2 linked regions of the Styela clava genome follow. The protein of the gene in region 1 interacts with the protein of each later gene in a pairwise test. Links are inferred from orthologs where the notes say so. Each region holds a gene or a part of one and is shown on either strand. Other genes may lie near its edges. The genes, in order: B9 domain-containing protein 1-like and B9 domain-containing protein 2-like.

Region 1 (12,648 bases):
TGTCTGGGTTTGATTATAAAAATAAAATTGTATATCGTAAATGAATATCAATAACATTACAATAATCAGCACAAACAATACAGTCTGAGTATACAAACATTGAAAGAAGCTGCCTCAAAATTGCAAAGATAAGATAAGAGCAAATCTGTTTGCACAATTACGAAAGGTAAATCACTCTTAAACTGCTTATTATGTTTATGTTTGATACAAGTATAACAGACTCACCGGGTCATTTACATATATCAATTCTCTACCTAGACAGTAGATTAGAAATGTATTACGTCAATCAATTGCATTATTATTCCAAGTGGCACATCTCCATAGATTTCTGCCACAATACGGAAGAGATTTTTTCATCAGTAGCTACAGGATATAATTTTCGCTGCCTCATTTCGGTAAAGTAGTTTCCCGAAGACTCCTCGAGTCCATCCTCTAAGCAGCAATAAAGCGGGGTCTGGCATCCGTAGAAAGAAGAACGGCAGAAAAGCACGAAAAACATTTTTCTAAATAACCAACTAAAGAATCTTCCTTTATTAACTTGATCAGCTCCAATGTGGGTTTGAATAGCTCCTGGGTGGACTGCGTATACAGTAATATTATTGCAAGTGCCACCTTCTTGACGTAATCTTTTGTCCAGTTCTTTTGTGAAATACACATTCATCAATTTTGTGTTAGCATATTGCTTAAAGATTTGAAGCCCAGTTGAGTTCCGATTGATATCTGGATTCAGGTTGTCAAAATTTATCTTCCCAAATTTGTACCCTTCTGATGCTACATTCACGATCCTAATAGGAGATTTTTTAGCAGTTTTCCGCAAAATAGGCATCAATAATTGAGTCAACAGAAACGGTCCTAAATAATTTGTACCAAACATCAAATCAAGCCCATCTTTAGTTTTTCCTTCTAGAATAATTCCTGCATTATTCACCAAAATATGCAAATTACTTTCAGATTTCAAAAACTCCTCAGCAAACTCTCTGATACTTTCAAAATCTGCCAAATCAAGTTTCATAGAATGCACTTGATCATTTCCAGTTTTTTGCCGTATTTCTTTCACTGCTTCACAACCTCTGTCATTATTTCGGCAACAAATAATAACTCTTGCGTTACATTTCGCAAGGCCGATAGCGATGCCTTTTCCGATCCCACGGTTACCACCGGTCACAAGCACTGTTTTTCCCGTTAGGTCTTTCTTGCTATTGCACACGGGCCCGCGTTTAAAAAATCGCACCCATACAATAATAGTCAGAATAACTCCACCGCCTATGATATTTGGCAGTGTTAATAATTCTCTTTCGCCTGACGGAAACCAGGAATCCCCATTAAAAAACATAACGCCTTTCTATCAGTGTAGAGTCAACCCTCGCGCAGTCGACATTAGTCACTGCCAAATACCACTAACATCGATAAAATTGTGTAAATAAAAGGCTGGATGGTCACATTCGTCATGGTGCGTCTGTGGGCGAAACGGTGCCGCATTCCGACTTCCAAATCCAAACCGAGTTACACAGAAAATTTTTGGGCGTCCATGAGCGTTTTTGGGCATAAAAGGACTTCAAAATAGCAGAATGAAACTATTCGCCGTTATGGTCAGTATACTCAAGCAATTTATGCTTATTTATCATTATGCTTTGAATTTTGTTATATAAATTAGGTAATCACTGACCTTTGTATGATAAAGAAATGATTATAATTTTTATTTATTTATTTGTTAACTACTAGAATGTAATTTATCATGTTCTTCTTACTTTATACCTTCTGTATGGTTGTGTGTGAGCGTGTGTGAAATATTTCAATTTTTTTTGGTGAGTGAACACGTACCACTTCTTCTTGGCAAAACCTTCTATCATACATTCTGTACGTTTTAAACTAAGTAAGGTTTTGTTTGCTCTCCTGATTTCATAATCAGTTTTTATTTTTACCAATCATTTTATTGCCTTACCATTTTTTAGGCTTTCGCCCTGAACATGACCCTGGAAATGCAGGTACTGATGCAAGGAGCTACTGTTTTTGGAACGACCAAATCCTTTTGTCTCGGTCATGCGTCTGGGTAAGACGGTGAACCTGTTTGAACCCCAGTAATCTACCCTGTGGCGCCAACTTAATTGGCGATCTCACCGTCTCTTTTTAGCTACCACATTTACTTAACGATATCGAACAAACCAACCGTAAGACGAAGCGGACCTCCTGAAGTATGCGCACCAAGATAGCGCACAACCTGAACTCAGGTTGTGTACCAGTTTAGGGTTCTGGTTATGCGACATCTTGGTGCGCATACCTCAAGACCAACGACGAAGCAGAGTATGTACAGGCCAAATAACATGTTACCTATTCTCAAAGTTAATCACTCAACAGTTGTTTCGCATGCAGTTGGTGGCATCATTCAACACAGGTTAAACCTAATTTTAGGTTGTTTATTTCCAGATTATTCGCTTTTCCACACTTTGCTATTAGGGTAGGATTCAAATAGTTATCCCGGAAGAGATGAAAGTAGACAACACGGCTTAATCATAGGGCGAATCATGGCCTTTCGTCCAGTTTTCAGTCCATGTCCGGTATGGGATTAGTTATTTGTTTTCAGATGCATGGATGGAGTATATGTAGGCTTACCATACATCCCGCTTTAGGCGGGACAGTCCCGATTTTAGCGTCTTGTCCCGTCGTCCCGACAAGTCAGCCAAAAGTCCCGCTTTGGCGTTCAGCTATCCAGTATGATACACGAACATGTTCTCGTTACTGTTGTTTCTGTGTAGGGCAGCGCTAGCCTACTTACTGAAGGTGAAAATGTGAAGTTACAAAATCACAGCTACGGGGGTCGTTGTCTCTGGGGGCTTCCCGCTTTGAAGTCACAAAAATATGGTAACCCTAGATTTTTTAGCCAATAATCAACTGCTCATTTCTGCACGTAGCAGATTTCAGAATCAAGAAAACACAAAATGCATACAAGAATAATATATCTATTAGGTATATAAATAGTAAAAAATCATCTACATTATATGAAAAGGTTGAAACAATAAAAGTACCACCAAAGTGCCAGGAAACCAAATAACACTAAAAGAAAATCACCAAAGCTTAGTGAAGTCATCAATTGAGAAGCAAGTATTTATTTAATAATAAGGTAGATGGCACCACTTTTGACGTGGGAAGTGTGCAGAGATCTAGTTAACGAAACCTGAAATAATCCATTCTTTGCCTGAAATATTCAAGGTAAATAGCACCATATTTTTCTTTTTTCAATTCAAGAGCCTTGATGCCAACTATCACAAATGTATTTCTGTAACAATCCGTCTAACCTTGTTACGAAAATCTTGAATTGAATAGAATTGTCATTTGCATACGGAACCACCTGCCCAAAGGCATAGAGTGAGAAAACGTAGTTACCGTAGTTTCACGTAACCCTAATTGTTAGATACTTTTGCTCGTTGAAAATGCACCATGAACCACGCGGGGAAAAAGAGTCATTTTGTAACCTAAACTCTTCTGAAATTTGAGTTAGAATGACTTTAAATTTATGAGTTCTTAGTTCGAAATAGATTCTGCACACCAAACAATTTATTAGAAATAGAGTCCGAAAAGTACTCTCAAATTAAAAAAAAATGATTTAAATTTGGCTGCACTGAACATAGTGCCTGTGCAACAATGCAAACCATTGGATATTTGTATATGGTTTTCTACAATAATATCCTGATATTAATTATTAGATATTAAATTATTTTTCAAATAAAGTATATAAAGAGTTTATAAAATACAGGGTGTTCATAAAGTCCCTTTACAATTTCAATTTTGTTTAAGTCAGTTCTCAATATATCTTAACCAGATTTGTCGTTTTTTAAACAGTAATGTTTAGGTATTTTTACTTCATTTAACACATCTGTGAAGGCAAAAACAATCCATATCCATATGGTATGGATAAATTCCCTTTGCATTTTCAAATATTTTCTAGACTTTATGGCACCCTATATTATTCAGCAAAGTTTCATTTGAAGATTTGAGTATGTGAAGATTTATTTATGAAACAATGTTCAAAAAATTTCCACTAGACATAATTATATTTAATTCTGTCAAATATAAAACATTCCTGAACTAGCAGCCACAGTGGTTATAAGCAGCAATCAAAGTATCTTATTTTGGAATGTCACGATAGCATTGTGGCAACAGCACCAGGCTGAGATTGCGTGGCATCGAATCCGAGTGGTTCACCAGGCGTGACATCATAACCCATCTTTTTCATATCTCTTGTTACAACATTAAAAGTAACCTGAAAAATTTGAAAACTATGAAGTGGGTACTCCCGTAGTGTTTGTAGCAGGTTAGGGTTGGGCCATAACTTCATTCAGATTTTGGTACACACACTTCTGGAGAGCCATAAACATGTGAAACGCTATAAAGTGTGTTACAGATAGCCAAATTTCTTAAAGTAAATTTCTATGTGCTGAAAAGGACACAGGAGTGAAGAAAGACAATATGGCGGCTCAATCATATGGCAAACCACGGCCTGAGTCCATCCGGTTATCAGTCCAAGTTGGGTATGGAATTAGTCAGCCAGTTACTCATTTTCATGTGCATGGACTTGACGATGCTTTCATGAATGCATCAGGATTATTAACAAGAATAGCATAATCTCTTTCTCAGATAGCAAGTATATTTTTTTTTTTTGACATCATATAGGACAGCAATCCTCACATACATGGACACAAGGCCGCACATTGGTACGGGTATGGTAATCCTGAGGCTGAGAGTATCAGAGGACAAGCTATGCAGAGACAGTCGAGTGATACGAAATAAATAGTGTACCCGTCAAATTAAAATAACACGGCAAACATTTTGGGTAACATATAGCATGCTTTATGACACATAAATTTGACGAAAAATACAGGCAATAGCTTCCTAAAGACTCTCTCATCTTTGAGCACTGAAAATTTGAAATTGGTTGGCCCATTGGTTGTGAAGAATTGAGCTTTTTCTCCAACAACAACCTCCGCAGTGTGTAAAATAACAACTTTATACATGTGCAACAACTATAGTTGACTGACCTTTATATGACCTTGTGTTCGAACTCTTGTGACATCACGACCTTCACCTTGCGCTACGACCTTGGGATCTACGAATTCAGGACGTCGGCCAAGGAACCAACTGATGGAAGAAAAGGCATGATTTAAAAACAAGATAACAATTCAAAACAAAATTTCTCGTTGAAGAATAGGAATTCGTTAACTCTTCTGTCTCGCACAAAGTATAATTTATGATATAAAAAGCAAACTGTAGAAATATACTGTAAATAAAACCAAAAGGTTTCGTGTTTTTACTAGTGCAGAATTAAATTAATATTTGAAACTGTGGCCCTTTTTAATCAATACCAGCCAAATAAATAAAATATTAGTCCTGAGATATTATGTTTTGCAGCATTGATTCAAAAGCGTAATATTAACGTAAGGCAATCAGTAAATCAAGAGTCCGGCAGCGCCCAACAGAAATGTATTCCTGTAGGGCTGTAAACTGCTAATATGAAAAAGGGAAATACATTTGAGACTTGAGTATGCAGCAGGACTCTTAAATTACATAGTAAGGTCATTTTTATTACTGCTACAGCATCCTTGCATCATACGATACAAATCCACAAATGACAGGGAGTCTTGTTTAACCCCGACTCATAATCGCAACAGAGTGAAGTCAGAAATCTGACGAATGTTGGTCACATTTGTGTCATAAGATGAAAACAAACCTTGTAAATTTTTGTAACTTTGATGACGATTCGGGCACGAACATCGGTATAATCCTTGAGTGTTTTCCAGGTGCTATGGGCACATGTGTGGCTCCATATCCTCTGACGACATCCTGACCAAATGCATCTGGACCATAACAGCTAACGACTAATTGAGGCCCTGTTAGATGATAGAATGAAGAAGATGGAATTCATGTGATTGCCTAGCTGTTGGTGTGTTAAACTGCATTGAAATCGCAGATTACATGTTAAGACTTCAAATCTCATTCCCATCCTTGGGTAGGTAATGTTGAATCGTAACTAATCCTTATAATAGTAGCTCCCGCATATTCTAAGACAGAGGCGTAGCAAGGGGGAAGGGTCTGAGGGTGGGACTGTTTAGAGCGCAGGGCATGAATAAACATTGTACGCATTACAAAACTAGATTCTCCAGGTTATGCTTACATTATGGTCTGTGGTACATCGGCAAAAATATTTAATTCAAACTTTATTGATTCTAACAGGTCAACTTAACATGCAATAAAATTGATTTACATGCAAACTTACATCCAAACGGATTTGTACTTTTATATGTGATATCCAGAGGGAAATTCCACACAAATAGTTGTCTCTCGTCTCGACTTTTTCTTGTGATTTGTGAGATGCCTTCTTCTAATCCAGCAGTCACTGCCCAGTCTTGACCATGAATGAATGAAAACTTGCAATATAACTCTTCAAAATCTGGAAACTGATAAAACACAGGAGTGATTGCGATTATTCAAAAGCAGGGGGTACACAAAACAGTGAGGCGCATGCTGACATGGGCAAATCCGGCCCCGCCTGATTCTGCAACAGACAAACTAAAACCAAATTTAGATGTTTAAGCTAAAAAAACTAACTCAAGGAATTCTTGAGATTGCGATGCCGATGAATTCAGTTTTGAAATAATTCTGTAAATATTGTTCGTAAACTGGGCCGCCGGCCGGCAGTCTAGGTGGGCAAATATTTTGACCACTTGTTCAAAAACCTTGCCCCATGTGCTATGGGTTTCGCAACCCTTCTCTATAGCATATAATATACACAAAAATCTTGTCACATTTTGACAGTAGAATTTCAACACAATAGTCATAAAACCTTCAGTTTGTGAGATAATATGTTTGGCAGTGTAGGAACTGTGCCCCATCTTTGTTTTAATTGCGAATCTGAAGTATAATAAACTGTGTATGTTGGGCTAAATCAGAAATTTTCGATTATTCAAAAATTATTGAAGTGACAGCAGGACATCTGAGGCATTTGGAGAACTGGTTACCTTAATACCGAATGAAAAATGAATATTCAAAAACTGCCTAATTTAAAAAAAAAAATTATTTAGTCTCGAAAGATTTTTTTTGTTTAAGCAAAAATTTTTTTGAATCTAATATCACAAAAAATTTGGCATTAATCATAACTTGATGTACTGAATTATTAATGTATGAATTCCAAAATAGATACTTATTGTTAGTTTATTTAAAAGTTTCAATCCATGAACGAGCATAAAAAGAAACGATAAAAGAATGATATAAATAAAAAAGTGAATGCAACTTACAACAGCACTTTCAATTTGTCCTGTTGACATCAACATAAAGACAGCTGGGTTTGGATTCAATCCGGCCATTTCACCAACGATATATTTCTAATTATTAATAATATCTAAATATTTTTGAAACAAGTAAACACATTCAGAATAAACAGAAAATGTCATTTAGAATGATAAGTGTTTAATAACAGTATCATATTCAAAATAAACAAAATTTGAGAGCAAACTTTGGATTGGTGAATCATATAAAGCATAATATAACTTTAATAACATCACTAACAAATCTACTCTCTTTCCATAATAGCTAGAGCCATAGACTTTAGCCATAATAGCTCTAGGATTTATAAAAGGGTTTATCAAGCTGTAGTAACGATCTCATGGTAATGTGAAACATATAATTATTCGATCTGGTGAGTTTTAGAATCGGGACATTTTTGCCAGTTCCTGAATCAATGATTGGAACAATGTATTCAACAGGAAGGTAGTATCAATTCAGCTATTTTACAATTTAACAATTATTGGGTTTAATTGCTAAACTTGACGAGGTACATGATAAAGTATTACACACTTATATGTTCATTGCTATATATTTTATAAATTACTATTTCAAAATGAGCTGCTGAAAAACTAATTTATTTGTTAGGAATCCAATTTAGAACAACTAGACTAATGATAAAATTCGAACAAGTACCAAAGCATTTGAATATGGATCCAATTATAAAAACTAACACTCAAATAACAAATTCTGAAATCAAATAAATGGAGAGTCTAAGGTCCTGGAACATCTTTTCGGAAATATTGGTGATACCACAGATCTATGGCACGAGTCCATGAATAGATCACTTCTGGGTATTGGTGATACGGTGCTCGCCATCTTTGCGACTCCCATTCGTGTTGTCCTACCACATGATCAGGGTCTGATCCAGTTCCGATGATGTTGAGTGCTTCGGCTTCCATTATTTCTTTATATTCTCTGAGGTGATTACGATCTTTTTCGGCTTCCAAAAGCGGGAGATATGTCATTTCAATTAGTCGTGTTTCCCGTTTTTCAAATTCGTCCAATTTCATGTTTTTTCTTATGATATGGAAGCCGTAACCAAATGTAAAAATAGCAAACCCAAATATTCCATAACTGCTGGGTCCACGCACGGGAAGATTTCTTAGATATGGAATCCTTCCATAGCCCCCGGGCGGGGGCATGTCCTGTTTATACCTAATCTTGCTCCATGCCTTTGATCCTTCCCCAGAGCCAGCCATTTTTTTCTGAAATGGCCAACCAGTGACGCCAATTCAGTGGCGACTGGAAAATAAACCTTTTGAACAGACCTCGACCTCAAAATTGTCCTACGAAAATAACTCTAATGAAGTGTTTTGGCGACAACTAGTGTTGAGAACAATGGCTACTAGTCGTCGGTCACTATGGACCTTTCCCCGAGCATCGACTTCCTTGTTTACTTCGTGACATTTGCCAATCAGCTAGATGCAAAAAGTGACGTAACAATGCCCCCTTTTCGCATCCGCTCAGACACTTTTCCCACTCAGACAGATTTTCAAGCGTGATTGTAAACATTACCTCGTTTTCGCGTTTTTGAACTCTATTCGTTAGTTTTCAGTTGTGTTTTGGGAACTTAAATAAAAATCAGATAATTCAATGATCACTCTGTCTTTCTAGGAGTTTTAATTCAATTGCAGTAATAAAAATTAGTGTAGAAATAGCTGTGATAGACTAGCCTGAAATTCTTTACCGGTACTTTTAGAAAACAGATTGCTGTATGCGATGAATCATAATGATGGTTTGAAACACATACCCCATTTTACAGACGCCAACTCGCAAAAGCACTCTTAAAATAGCCTTAACAATTTTGCAATGGTAAAGTATAGGAAGAATTTTCCGAGGGTCAAAGGTCGGGGGAAGGTCCATTTCTTTTTGCAAACAAATAAAATTTAAAAACATTTAACACAAAATTTTATATTATTTACAATTACTAGCACTACCAGCTAGAATGTGTGAGTGTTCGAGATTTTTTTAAATTCTTGAATTATAGAAAGTGGGAGTGGGACAATTGATTACAGTGGGCGCAATACTACCGTATAAATATCGTTGCTATTTTCAAATCACGCCAACTCGTCGGCGTCCGTTAGTCTGGCGTCAAATCTATAACAGCGACGCAACATAACGTCGTCTTCGAAGTGAGCGACGTCAGTGTGACGTCAACGTTCAACGTGTGCGTCAGATGCTATTATTTTAATAAATAAAAAAATTTTTTATTTTTTTTTTTTTTTTTATTGCATTTCATAAAATAAAACAATATTGCAATATAATTGCAATAAACAGTATCAATCAATAAATAATACATCACAGTAATACATAACAATATCATGGCAAATCATTTAGATTTTGATAAATTATTGCAGTAAACAATATTAATAAATAAATTTTCATTTTATCTATAATTAAACAGGAGGGCTATGCTCAAATATATGGACACGTGGGGCCACGTAATTTTGATGACGTCATAGCGAAAAAAAGTAATAGCCTTCTGGAGAGAAGTTTTATCTTTTTAAAAACGAAAAACAAAAAGAAGAGGATTGCCTGCATAAAATGCAAAACGATCGATATGTCCACTACGTGTTCAATAACAATGTCATCCCAGATGACCCTATACATATACATAAATTATAACTTAATACAATAGTTAGAATAATATAATAACAATCATCTGTTTACAATAATAACATTACTGCAATCTTTAAATAAATTCCATTTTTTTCTATGTATGTGAAGTTTGCCATTTTTAAATGCTGAATATTTTTCACTATCACGGATATCACATAGAAATTTGAAAAACACATCAAAAATCGGTTTGTGCTTCTGAATTCGGCATCTATATATATAAAAAATATTTGGATTCAAATTTTTTATCGAGTCTCCTGCGACATCTTGCGATCAATCTAATTTTCCATATACATTGTTATCGCCCTCTATCGAATGACGGTAGTTTGAGGAAATTAGCATCAGTAGAAGTCACGATTTGAGCCGCTCGAAAACGGAGTGTCAATTTTATCGTAAAACGTGATTTTTTAATCAGAAAATAAATTAAATTGCGCGATTGAATATGATAACAGATTTAGATATATAAGGACTCACTATGGAAACTGTCAGAAGCACAATATGACGTAATTTAGTCGAGATATGAACGATTGAAAATTTCATCCGAAGTTACAAGGTATCCGAAGTTAGCCGGTTTCACGCTACCACAATTCGTCTTAATTGTTTAATAATTAATGAACTGACAATGATTGACACGGAATGTGTCGTGTTGTGAACATAGCCCCTATTATTAGTAACAATATTATATATTTATAAAAAAAATAACATTATTAATATTTTTTTATAGATTTCCATGATTCGTGTGATATTGAACAACTAATAAAATGTCACTTAAACTTGTAATCTCAGCAGCAATTCTTGCAATTGCTATTGGCATTTGGATGAATTCTGTGAAAACAGGAACTGAGGGACAAGATGTATTAAACTACTCCCTGAGAGCTGTTATAGTAGTAGTACTTACAATTGGTATAGGTGCTTGGATAAAATCCATAAAAATTGGGCCAGTATGTGACAGCAACACAGATTTAACTGGGAAGACGGTGCTTATCACTGGAGGAAATGTTGGTGTTGGAAAGGAAACTGCCACTGGTTTAGCGAAGCACAATGCAAAAGTAATTATTGCCTGCAGAAATTCTTTAAAAGCTGAAAGAGCAGTGACAGAAATCCGATTAGAAAGTGGAAACGATTTGGTAACTTTCATGAAGCTGGACTTAGCAGAAATGGCTGATGTCCGAAAATTTGCAAATGAGTTTATCGCAAAAGAAGAAAGACTTGATATTTTGGTCAATAATGCTGGAATAATAACAGATGGGAAAACAAAGGACAATTTTGATATGATGTTTGGCATTAACCACTTGGGACCTTTTCTATTAACGAATTTATTGTTGCCCTTATTGAGAAAAACTTCAAAAAAGAATCCAGTAAGGATTGTTAATGTAGCGTCAAAAATTTACGCAGCAGGAAAAATTGATTTTAATAATTTGAATCCAGTTGTTAATTCTAACAGTGGGATGAAAGAGATATTTCTTAAATATGCAAATACTAAACTTATGAATATATATTTCACAAGTGAGCTGGATAAACGATTGAAAAGTGAAAATGTTGCAATCACGACATACTCTGTTCATTCTGGCAATGTAGATAGCAGTTTTGCACGTGATGTTGCACAAAGATGTGGATTGCTGTGGGCTTATTTTAACAAATTTTTTTGCGGTTTTGCATCAATGACTCCTTACTATGGCGCTCAGTCCTCATTGCATTGTTGCCTTGAGGAAGGAATTGAAGATCGAAGCGGAAAATTATTCGTGAAGTTGAGACCCATTGAAATTGACGCCGTGGCAACTGATCCTGCGATAGGTACCAAGTTATGGAAAGTTAGTGAAGGTCTAACAGGACTCACTGACTAAATTGTCGAGATTTGAAGTATAGGATTCTTATTTGCTCGCTTTATCTCAAACAAGGCTTTGGACAATCATAATTCATTCACCAGCACAGGATGGGTGCGGTAATGGTAAACATTGACCTAGGGCCTAGGCCAGGGATGGCGAACCACTGACCCGCATGTCACAAAGTGACCCACCACGTTTTATTTGTGACCCGCCAAGCGAAGGCACGAATGAAATAAAAAAAAATGCTAACATATCAGTGATAAAAATTGATAAAACCGGCTTTAAATTAATCTAACAATTACTAAACTATTATAATGTACCGTCAGTTGTACAGTCAGGGAGAGCTGCGATCGCTCATGTTCAAAATGTTGATTTTCGGGCTGGTATGGTGATTTTCAAAACCCCTAATCTTGTACGCATGTATGCACCGCTGTGTACCGTTATGCAGCTATTGGGCCTGACATCGTTTATGACATAACAATGCAATTGATCCGTTCATTTCTCGCAACGTCCGTCTTATTTGAAAGTGCATCTATCTGCAGACTGTTTTAGGGGTTATACGAGAACTAGATGCTACTTTGCATTTTATTAGTTTCTCGCCTACAATGCCGTTATGAAAACAAACTTTCAGCCTTGAAATAAAAATCTAGAAATTTGGTATAACAATGGGGCAGTGTAAAAGTGGCCTAATGTGGTTGGAAGCTGATCGAAAATTATAACACTATCAAAGCGGAATTACCTCCAAACACTAGAACCGTAAAATAATTTAACGCATCATCCTAAACGTTTTTGGTAATTCATATGCGTTTTTTTCGTACTCTAATATCATAAAACTGAGTGCCATGAAAAGTCCCTGATAGAAGTGCTGCAT
Region 2 (12,049 bases), on another chromosome or scaffold:
ACTTGTTTCGATCAATGAGTGAGCAAGATATTTGTCAGAAGATATTTTCGGTGTCTGTGAGCGATCAGTTGTGTAATGCTTCATTAGAAAAAAAACTATGTAATCATTATTTGAAAATATTATGAACCTGAAAGCCGTTGTTTTCGTCTTTTCTGATATCGTATTCACTATCTGACTTGACCAACTACTAGTAAGATCGTGTAATAGGGGTGTTACGTAGGTTCCCTAGGATTAATGTAGGGATTCCAAATCCAATATTCGAATATCGCGATCTTCAAATATCGTTTTTTCGTGTCCATATGAATATGGCGCACGTATCCTAGCGCCGCCGTCCACGTTTTGATTTAAAAGCATTTAAGATTTTTTTTATCGCATTCGAAGGCCGCTGACATAAATTATAGCCGACATTAAAGGATAACACGTCGAGGGTGTTTTGGATTGGAATTAGTTTACAATTATTATCATATATTTCAATTTAGGGTGTACTAGCTAGGGTACTGTGTACTGAACCCGGCAACCACAAGGAATCAACGTAAAAGACTGAAACTCAACGAAAACGAACCTAAAACAAACAACAACAAACCATACAAAAAAGTTCAAAAACAAACACTGGAACATCTTCAAATGTCGACTGAATATCATTCTTCTAGACTAGAGTCTAGACAGCACAATAGAGACAGACTCAACCCATTCATCTCTAATATTCTCGTATTTTTAGTATATTATTTCTAACCGACTATTGATCTTTATCATTTGCAGCCATATCTTGTTTTATATGAAGGAGTTAAACTATGATCTAACGCAAGCTCATAAATAAACTTACTATTTCGTGAAAATAGATTTTGTTATTCCTATTTCAATTTAGTCGAGATAGTTTGTGCGGCTTCGGCCATAAATCTAAAAGAAAATTGTGTCGTAATCAATTGTTGTAATCTGTCGTTTCGATTGTGACCGAACATAACGGAAATTATTTCATTTCTCGCAATTCAGAGCGTATAAAGTAGCTCTCAAATATTATTTAGTATGTATCGCGGATTTTATCGTGATCCTGACGTCGTTGATGACAATATCGTTCAGTTCAAGTCGGTGGTATTAATTAAAATCGTAACAGCTGACATGAAATTTTTTTAACTCAGCGCCGCCTCGAAAAATGAAAAAGTAAAACGTTCTCCGGTCCTAATTCTCCTTCATTGGTAATGACAATGGTAAATAAACAAAGGTACACAAACATACCGTTCGTAGTTTTTATTCGTTATTTCACTGTTCTTTCTGTGTGTATTAGGGCCTTTACAGTTAAAATGCGTACCCACTTACGGAATTTTCCACTTGCGAACGGGCGTCCGGAACAAATCAATTTCGTAGTTAGAGTTTTCTACTGTATTTGGTGGTATCAGAATTATATCTGGTTTCGGCAACTGAGCATAATGGTATAATTTATGACGACAAATTTACCATGAAGGCTGCGGTCAGTGAGTGTTCAACTAGGGCTGGCGAAATGTCAATGTGTGTCCGATTAGCGCCACCGAAACACAGTCAGTGCGTGTACAACAAGGGCTCTGCCTCTGTTATTCAGAACTATGTAGGATAGAATTTACAATCTAAAATCTAATCTAAAAAAAAATCCAATCTAAAAAAAAAATTGAATTTACATATTTATCCCGTCGAGAGGAAAGCCGATAAGACGGCTTAATCATATGGCGAACCATGGCCTCTTGTCCGGTTACCAGTCCAGGTCGGGCATGGGATCAGTTAGCCAGTTTTTTGTTTTCGGAAGAATGGAATTGAATTGCGTTACGGGAATTGGTGTCATTGACCGTATTACCCTGGCCGTAATCGGACTGACTGACCCTAATTGGACACACATGACCTAATTTCGCTAACACTGATAGAACTTTCATGCTACCACCACTGAAGATGAGGGCAGCTTTTTTGTCTAAGTTATCTTACAGCCGGTATTTTTTGGTAAAGGCGCTGACGTTTCACAGAATTGCAATGTCTGAATGGCTGTGTTCAAGAGATTGTCAGATTATTTATATTCCTCTTTCAACTAATTACTGAATTATGTTATACATCAGAGTTTGGGTCATGAAAGTCGATTTATATTTTTTCGATTGCGCAATCGATATTTACACTAGCTGATAAATTTAATGTCAAATGGAAACATTGATGATGAAATCTCTGCTGCTGAGAGATTGCTATCCTGGAGACCAGGGATTCAGTCCAACTCTTTACCATCTAAAGGTGGCCCTAAATTCTTTGGAACCAGTGACACTGTTGTTGAAGAATGTAAGGTGAATACACAATTGGATAAATATGCTTCTGTACTACACTCGGAAAAAGTCAGGAAATTGAGTAATCTGGGAAGTGCGGAATGGATGGAAAGTCTGGGAGTAGCAAAAATCACAAAGCAAGGTAAATTCATGCAAAGCATGTGCCATCATAATGGTGAATTTTTTGCCCTTTTTGGTGAAGAGGCATTGTTCCTACTAGACATTGGTGACTTAGAGTTAACTTTAAATGGTGTCCCACTGGCACTGCAAGAGGCTTACTCGTTTATACTAAACAATGATAAAAGCTGCTGTAGCTTACAGGATTATCAGGTGTATTCATATTTGGTCAAACGAGGATATATTGTCCAGAGGTACTCGTTAGATGACAATTGTACTGGACTTGTGGAAAAAGAAAAAGCAAATAAAAGAAAGCTTCCTAAGGATGATGAATTCGAAGAAGGAAACTCAAAACAATCCAAACAAGATCACAAGGTAGTTTCAAAAGAAATTTTGTCTCCAAAATCATCTAGAGGTTGGAATATGCAGTCTCTTCCAGCATTATCTCCATATTCACTTTCCCATTGTACTTTCATATTAGATGCAAAATTTTTTCCCAATCTATCAAATAAGTCATATACGCATTTGCCAAAGCCAGATGCAAGTCTAATACCACCAAATATTGACACACATGAGTATAATATTGAAGAAATCTGGTTTCAACGAATCCAAAAGGATTATGTCAATGAAAAAAGAAACCCACAACATTCAAATATGATTAACCTTAATGATATTGCGCGGAGGGCAAAAACATGGACTGAATATAAGAAAATGGTGAAAATAGCCAAGCATAAAAAGACTGGTAAGCATTTTGAGCTGCTCAATAAGATGCATTCAGGCAATATTAAACCCTTATTACATCCATCACAGGCAACTAGTGTTGATCAAGTTGTCAAAGAAATAAAACTAACCAATGATGCATCTAATAAGAAATTTCAAAACATGCAACAACATAACCAAACTTGTACTATTAAATATAATGTGTTTAAGAGTGATTCATTACCTTTCAAAAAAACGAATCCTGGTACACCATTTTGTAGGATAGTTGTAACAACAATTCAGGACGAATTTCTTGATACACTGACTAATATTACTATTAATAGACAATCAAATAGTGTCCCAGTCAAATATGGAGTTGTTGATTATGGACAAATATCATTTTTTTCCATTGATGAAGGTGGTGTTCCCACTATAATTAATGATCCGTGATAGTGTTTTAATCTCTCATGCTCTAAAATCAGACATGATTTTCAAGATTGGCAATAAATATTATTTTCATAAATAAATGAGTCTGATATTTGATAGAAGTTGCAAGGTGATGATGAACATTATCCCGTGTTTCTCTTCGACAACTAACTGCTTGGAAATATTTCTTCAAATTTGTTGAGGCTGTACTGAAATTATTCATGTTTCATGAAATTTTCTGCATTGTATATCAACAAAACAAAATATATTTTACAATACAGTGTATGTGCTTTAGTTCCAATGCTGAATAGGATTAGTTAACCTTACATTTTCGCATGTTCCGTTAAGTCAAATATCATATCAGGCAAATCATTGTTCCAAGTGTCATCGAGCTACAGTTTTCATTGTGTATTATTAGAGACGTTTCAAAATCTGATTATATCTGACAAATCAGAAAATTTGCCATGGTTCATTTCAAAGGAATATATTTGAGTCAACGTCCACTTGCTAATGAAGTGTGTTTTTATGATATGTAGTTTATATATTTCAAAACTGTTTTGAGGAGCATCAGTAATCGCAGGCCCTTTCCATCAATAATGTAACTTTTATTGGTATAAGAATGCTAATGAAAAATATCATAATTGATATAGATAAGTCGCTCACCAGCTGAAACATTTCCTACAATATACAGTAAGTCATATTTATTAATATACAATTTTAACAGATATATATTTACTACAACAGTATAAACATTGAAAACATGAAATCCACATTTGCAACCTTGCTCAAAATTATATAAATCCTCCGCTCTTATTATCAATTTATAATGGATAATTTGAAGATTAAACATTATTGCGAAAAGTGCCATCATGAATATATCTATTAATGGTCAAACCGAACCATTTTCTACTATTCAAAATAGAAATTCAAAAATATTTCAAAATGAATTGGGGGATGTAATATCGCAGAAATATGAATGTTGATTTTCTACATTATTCTCAGATATGTTAAAGAAATCATTCAATAGAATACCACTAATTCAACATCTTCTTTCAATACCACCTTACACTTCTCACAGTATGAGTATTGGTTCAGAAACAATAATATGTCACAAAAATATCTTGAAAACGCTACATATGACTAACTTTCAATGCCAAATTTGTCAAAATTTCTCAGTATTACATTCAATTGTGCATGAACCTTTCCCATAGCAGTTGTATGCAATTTATACCTGTCTGCACCACTGTATATTAATTCTGGATTTTTCAATTGTGGGCATCCGCCAACAAAGTATTGCATCAATTCTTCTTTAAATGTTCCATTGGGTTTCCATGTCATGCACTCAACTTCATGTGGTCCTGGAGACGACGGAATGTGAACAAATCCATAAGCGTATAGTTCGTTTCTCCCAAATGCATCATGGTGCCAAATCTGCACATGTAGACGTGGCCAGCCCTGAAGTCCTTTAGTTGCGTAATGCAAGTCTATTGGATGACAAAATGCAGCGAACTCTTCATTTTGTGGATTGTCTACTTGAGTTTGTCCATCTTTTGAACCTGCTATCAACTTCCAGGCACCTCCTGCGTGAATTCCCCATTTGCAGAAAAGTCTATGATCTGGAAATTCACTCGCCCCAGTTAACTGACCAATAATATGGACTTCAGCCATGGTTTGTTTATAAATGGTTCAACATATTTATGATAAATCTTAAAGGCAAAGTAAAAAAACAAATTAATATAATAGTATGGAACAATTGACGGACTTCCCGAAGTATGCTCACCAAGATGGCGCACAACCTGAACTCGGGTTGGTAACCAGGTTCAGGTTATGCGACATCTTGGTGCACATACTTCAGGAGTACCCAATTGACAAACCAAGTATAGCCTAGCTATATCAAAGTCGTTCGATACTGGAACAATAAAAATGGGAATTCGATATGGAGTTTTTGCACAGTATTAACTTAATGTTAAAACATTGTTTGCTATCGAACATGACCAAATCGTTAAACATCTATGAATAACTGGATAGAGAGGTTCTGGTATGACACAACATGACAGATGAAATACATTGCTAGATAATGGTATTAATTCTTTTAATGGTATTTATTATTCAAAAAATATTTCACTTATTCAGTCTATAGTAAACTGAAGCCGGTCAATACACTACTAGGGTGCGGTACCTGGACTGAACATACATTCAATTTCCCATTGGCAGCTATGACAATTATTCTTTATTAATGCGCATGTTTATTTACATGTATTGTACCTTTATAAAAGTTTTGCAAGTTTCCCAAATTTTCGCAATCTTCTGTGTGTTCATTCTTGTGTTTTGTGTATGATTTTTTTTCGGGAAAATCAAAACATACTTATATAGGAACAAAAATAAATAACTATGTAGCGGTACCTACAGCATTAGCATACAAACATTCATTTCAGTACTTCAACCGTTATTCATTGATCACATTTATATCCAGCCATACAGGTAATTCTCAATGTAATAAAACAAGATTATATATATGAAACACCGGAATTTAGAATAAATATTTTAATAAAACAAGATTATATATATGAAACACCGGAATTTAGAATAAATATTTTAACTAAAGAAACCGTATCCAGAATCGCAGAACAACAAATAAACCGCGTATCCTGGAGCATTGATGCATTAATTTTAAATCAAGCGGTACCACTTAAACCCTTTGGTTACAAAGGTTGAAGTTTATTTTTTAATATATTTTTGGAATTTTGCTTTATTTGTTTTTGTTTTGTGCCAATTTTGAAATGAAATATGTTTTTTTTTAATATCAAATATTTTAAAACAATTTATAAAATTTAATAAAACCACAGCGTTTATATATCTGTTGGCGATAATTTATATCTGCCACAGAGGGTTAATTTGGCGAGTTGAAATATTTCTCTTTCAGCTCGGCTCTGCTCTAGTCGTCGAAATGCGTTAAAGTGCAAGAAATACCTATAAAAAAAATTCTTACGGGTAGCATATACTTACCTAGTGTGTTTCGAATAAATGAGCTCACCGTTCAGTAATGTAAATTTACAGCCTCCTGTTTTGTATTCTGTAATTATTTTGACAATAATTCATTAATTGAAATAGGATTTTTTTCCATGTTGTATATATGAATTCTCATTCTTCAACCAATTAAGCCATAACAGTTTAACCAGTTTGAGTTATTGGATTAGAATATTTCATTAGTAAATATAGTAGAAATATTTATACTATTTTACTTAAAAATGTTTTCACATTTTTAGACAATTTTACACCATATAAATGTATCACGTATGTCAGTAATTCACTTTAGCAAGTTTTCAGCAACACATTATCATGCGATCTGTTCCTCTCTGGTTGGATAAAGTTCAGGACAAAACAACTGCTGGACAATGGTACAGCATAGTAATTTATTTCTTATAAAAAATTGATATTAAGAATATGAATTTTGGTATAATAATCAAGAATATTATTGTTCAAAATCACTTACCGGTGACCATTTTGTTTACTTTCCTCTCGAATGTTTTTACAAAGTTTTAGTTGTACATCTATTCTTTCAGCATATATGACTTGGCATTTAAACCCGATGGATCTCAGTTGATGGTTGCTGCGGGAAATAGAGTTTTAGTCTATGATCCGAGTGATGGAACACTGGAACAATCACTTAAAGGACACAAGGACTCTGTATATTGTGTCGCCTTTTCTAGAGATGGTGAGAGATTTTTTATTGCGTTTTGTGGTTTATTTATAGACAGGTTAACAGTGTAACTTCTGTACACAGTTGTAACTTCTTTTTTGATTATGCGAAATATCTGTTAGTAAGCTCTTTCGTCAAGTTTGTTTTTTCCAACCAGTAAAATAGATCTTTATTAAGCTGCAAGTAGGGATGGGCAATGTAGAATAATTTACTATTCTAGAATATTCTAGAATAGTTAAATCGAATCCAGAATACCGAATCCTATTCTATTTTCATACTTATTCAAATAGTAGGAATTTCTACATTGCTGGATTTAGATGGTAAAAAATTGCAAATGTTATTACTTACTATAAATGTATTATCTATTTGGAAATGTCCTGAACATTGGACTTCATTTGATACTAAACAGGCAGTTCCCAGGACAATAGAATTTAGGAATATTACAATATTTTTTGCCTTCAATTGTTCCAAATGTATGTGATCCCTAAATACTGATATGCTAAATTAAGACACGCTTTACACACTTTAATAGTAAGCGGTTAAATACAAAATAGACATGCAACGGCGTTAAATCATTATTAATGTAAGTCTGCCGAGTATACTAAAACATACCCGCTGAGAATTAATTAGATGCTGAACCAGCATGTGGCCACTGCAACCTATGCTCCGTTGTAAAATATTAAATTTAAGCACTATCAAATAAAATCAACTTTTTATTCTGTGAGAGCAAGACACGTAAAACCAAGTTCCCGTAAACGCGATTTCGTACTTAGTTATTAGGTAATAACATCTGAAGACGAACTCATTTTCTATGATTATCGTTACATATCATTATCTACCCAGACTTAGCCCTACTCAAATTCATACGTCACTATCTTCGCCAGATGCGGCAACTTTTTTCAAAATTTATCGGCGACTAAAATACTACAGACACTCGATCGAACGTGCGTCTATCTTGAACGATAGAAATGTTATCATTAATCATTATCTACCCAGACTTAGCCCTACTCAAATTCAATACGTCACTATCTTCGCCAGATGCGGCAACTTTTTTCAAAATTTATCGGCGACTAAAATACTACAGACACTTGATTAAACGTGCGTCTATCTTGAACGATAGAAACGGACCGAAAAATATGTAATTTTTTGAGAGTGAAATTTAAATGTGACAGATGTTTGCGTTTTGCGATATAACTTTGTATTTCGGAAAATGGTACAATAAAATTATTCGTGAATAATATTTGATCTAAATTAATGTTATAACATTTAACGCCTGGCTTTTGGCTTACGTGCATCATTTTTTTGGGAAAACTCGTAGGTCGCGAAAAATCATTTAATTTAAAATGAGGCAAGGCACGTCTGTAAACAATTAAAGATTGTTGTATTCAGATTATCGGAATATCACCAGTAAGTCGGCACAAATAACGCTAGCTAGATAGCAAAGAAAGAAAACGCAAAAATGGTGCAATAACGAGTTCTCGCTGTGAGGTTATATTACCGACTTCTTGTCCTGAATATGCCGATTGAAATTACAGTGTTTGATGTTCACCGATTTACGGGTTATTTGCGAGCAGACGCAAGTTTAATTAAACGAGAGAGATTTCCACGCGAGAAAAACGCTCGTCTATAATTGATAAATTAGAAACCCGAAATAAAAAAAATGACGCTTGGCGCCGGAGAGGCGGAAACCGAATCCTGTTATCGGATCCCGTTGGATTCGAATACTTTGGGATTCGAATCCTCCGGATTCGGTATTCTATATTGCCCATCCCTAGCTGCAAGATGTGTTATTTAGATTGAAATGAAACAGTAGTAAAGTGGGAAAAAAATTGGCATGGTATCTTTCTGACAACTAGCATGAATTTTTCTCTGTACAATATAAATTGCTTTGCGAACACTTCACAATTCAACGAAATCTGCTTAGAAAAGTTTCAATAAGCATTGTAAATAGCAGCCCACAATTCCTATATCAAATTATGATTCTAATTTACATTCTTCCTAGCAAGGTATAATATAGAATTTTGAATGAATAACTATCTGCTTTAAACTCTTTCTTTTTTTTTTAAAGGTAAACGTTTCGCTTCTGGCTCAGCAGACAAAAGTGTCATCATATGGACTGATTCGCTGAGTGGGATATTGAAATACACGTATGCTCTTATTGGTTCCTAGCAGGGATGTCCCAAACGAATCTAATATTGGAATTAATTTGAAATGATTCATATAAAATTCTTGATTTTAGTTTTAAATATTTTTATTTAAAAATAACCAAGTTGAGTAATCAAGGTATCAGCAACAAAGCATCTAACTTCTGAAAATAGTAAAAAATGGATAAAAAATCATTGAATGAATGAATCACTGTTTATTTTAACCTTTTTGGAATTTCCAAACTTTTAAAAATACGATTGACTCCTATTATTCTTTATTGATCTCGGGATAGTACCGCAAAATTATTTGTATTTCATTGGTTTACAGTTCTGCATTCTGCACAATGGGCATAAGCAGTGTCAAATAAGTGATTTCTGTTTTCTATAACCAACCTCATTTTTATTCACAGACACAATGATGCAATACAAGCTCTTGCATACAGTCCTGTAGCCCAACAACTTGTATCATGTGCAGTTTCTGATTTTGGTGAGAGGATTTTTATGAACAGTCGTATTTGTAATAAATAATCAATAAATTCATGTTAATTTATACATATTTTTTCATTTACCTCTTTTTAGGTCTGTGGTCACCAGAACAGAAATCAGTCAATAAGCATAAAGTGAATAGCAGAATCACATGCTGCAGGTTGGTATTGTATTTGTGAAAGAATCATTTTTCTACTCAACTAATGGACCATTCATTTTCAAATTGTCAAAGTTGCAAGAAAGCTATTCCTTTTTTTCAAATTATGTCCAATTGCTATGCCTTATGTTTCTCTGATTTTTTTTAAATTTATGGGAACACTTTTTATGACCTAAGGCAGGGGTGTGCAACCTACGGCCTGCGGGCCAATGGCGGCCCACAAGGGAAAATTGTGCGGCCGATTTTGAATTGTGTGCGCCCTGGGGAACAAGTTTTCAATTTAGTTCAATTTGGTGTGAGTGCGAGTAACCCCAATACCTTTGTATTGCAAAGCCTATACCTGAGACCAATTTTTATGACGTTACAAATACAATGCCCTAACAGTTACCTTGTGCAAAGCGCTTATCATACGACCAAGTACCAAAATTTTTATGCCTGCAACTACTTTAAAGCAAATGTTAAATAAAGGTGCGGCCCGCGGTTTCTTCCAGTTATTGGAATGTGGCCCTCCTGTAATAAAGGTTGCACACCCTTGAACTAAGGGAAAACGTCTTTCATCACACTTCCCCCTGACCTTTTTTGTTTGTGAAATTTCCAGTGTGATATAACGTGTTATTGATATCGTGATGGATTAACTGGTCTTTGTTTATAATGTATTTTATGCTTCTTTTTAGCTGGACAAATGATGGGCAATATTTTGCAGTTGGATTGTTCAATGGCATTATCAGTATCAGAAGTAAATTAGGAGAAGAAAAAGTTAAAATAGAAAGACCTGGTGGCTCTTTAAGTCCTGTCTGGTGCTTACAATGGAATCCTAACAAGTATGATCCATCATTATATTCAAGTGTAATACTGCATTATCACCATTTCACACGACCAAACCAATCAGGGCCACAGATTTGTCCTGAAAGATAATTTGAAATAAACTACTTATCGGTAGTAAAAATCAGAAAAATATGCATAATATGCTCCCCTAATTTTTGGAATGAATATCAGTGATAAATGTGCTTTTTATATGCAAAGAAATATGATATAAAACATTATAAACATTATTTGATTCTCTCATTCGTTATGTATTATAAATCATGATTAAGTGTTTTTGAACTTTGTATCAAATTTTTCCTTTTGTATTCTGGATATTTGTAACTTTAGTATAGGTTTACATTTCTTTATAACAGAGAGGAATCATATGATGTTCTTTCTGTTGGTGATTGGGGAAAAAAACTTTCATTCTATCATCTTAATGGAAAGCAGGTAGAACTTTTATAGATATTTCATTTTATCTCTCGTTCAGCTAATAATTACTCGAATGCTCTTGCTTACCTTCTGGTGTCCTGGAGTAGAATACCATTTTTTCAGTGAAACTCTTTATGAACCAATTTTTCTCTGATATTAATTGGTATTTAAAATTTTTGATATATCAATTGATGTATTGCAGATCTTTGCTTTATTAATAAAGGCAAATTTTCCAGAAAAGTATCTTAGGAAACAATTCATATATGTGATTGGTTGGTTATTTGAACAAGGATTACCAAAGTAGACTTTGCTTCATGAACAATTGCTAATGCAATATGATTCAAGTTTACTCATTTACATATTTGCTTCTTGATTTCGCAAAATTTCTTGAATTCATTTTGCAGGTACCGGTAATCAAATTTTTTTTTTCAACATGTATTTTGTATATCTACATTCTCAAAATACCTTTTTCCGATACCTTAGATCAGGGGTATCTGAAGCTGCGGCCCGCGAGCTAATTTGTTGCGGCCCTCGAATGACCCGACATTTGATACATGAAACAAAAATTCATTTGATACATGAAACAAAAATTGATCCTAAATTTATTATTGTCTTTACACGGATTTATGTGATAACAAGTGCTGCTGTACGGCACTTATTTTGTAACAGGGAGCGACGTTCGATTCTTAGTTAAAAATGTCTGCGAAACTTCCAAATTGCTTTGACGGAAAAATATTTTTCCTATGCATTCCAAAACTAGTATGCACGATATGTCCAATCGGCGTTGCAGTTATTAAGGGATTCAATGTTAATC

Evidence for each region.
Region 2: the proteins of B9 domain-containing protein 1-like (region 1) and B9 domain-containing protein 2-like interact in a two-hybrid assay, tested with the Caenorhabditis elegans proteins (3 studies listed by BioGRID). The link is inferred for Styela clava from reciprocal best matches to the Caenorhabditis elegans genes mksr-1 and mksr-2.

Annotation. Positions count from the first base shown.
Region 1 is NC_135262.1:3,161,902-3,174,549, forward strand, and holds B9 domain-containing protein 1-like, read right to left. Parts: upstream 7,411-12,648; 5' UTR 7,356-7,410; coding exon 7,287-7,355; intron 6,450-7,286; coding exon 6,269-6,449; intron 5,883-6,268; coding exon 5,723-5,882; intron 5,134-5,722; coding exon 5,034-5,133; intron 5,024-5,033; exon of another isoform or gene 4,669-5,023; intron 4,259-4,668; coding exon 4,136-4,258; 3' UTR 3,168-4,135; downstream 1-3,167. Other genes in the region: NADH dehydrogenase [ubiquinone] 1 alpha subcomplex subunit 13-like, read right to left, coding at 8,046-8,534.
Region 2 is NC_135258.1:12,599,402-12,611,450, forward strand, and holds B9 domain-containing protein 2-like, read right to left. Parts: upstream 5,223-12,049; 5' UTR 5,181-5,222; coding exon 4,653-5,180; 3' UTR 3,950-4,652; downstream 1-3,949. Other genes in the region: tRNA-splicing endonuclease subunit Sen54-like, read left to right, coding at 2,148-3,536; intraflagellar transport protein 122 homolog, read left to right, coding at 6,852-6,910, 7,076-7,227, 9,281-9,359, 9,767-9,843, 9,936-10,002, 10,674-10,820, 11,178-11,253.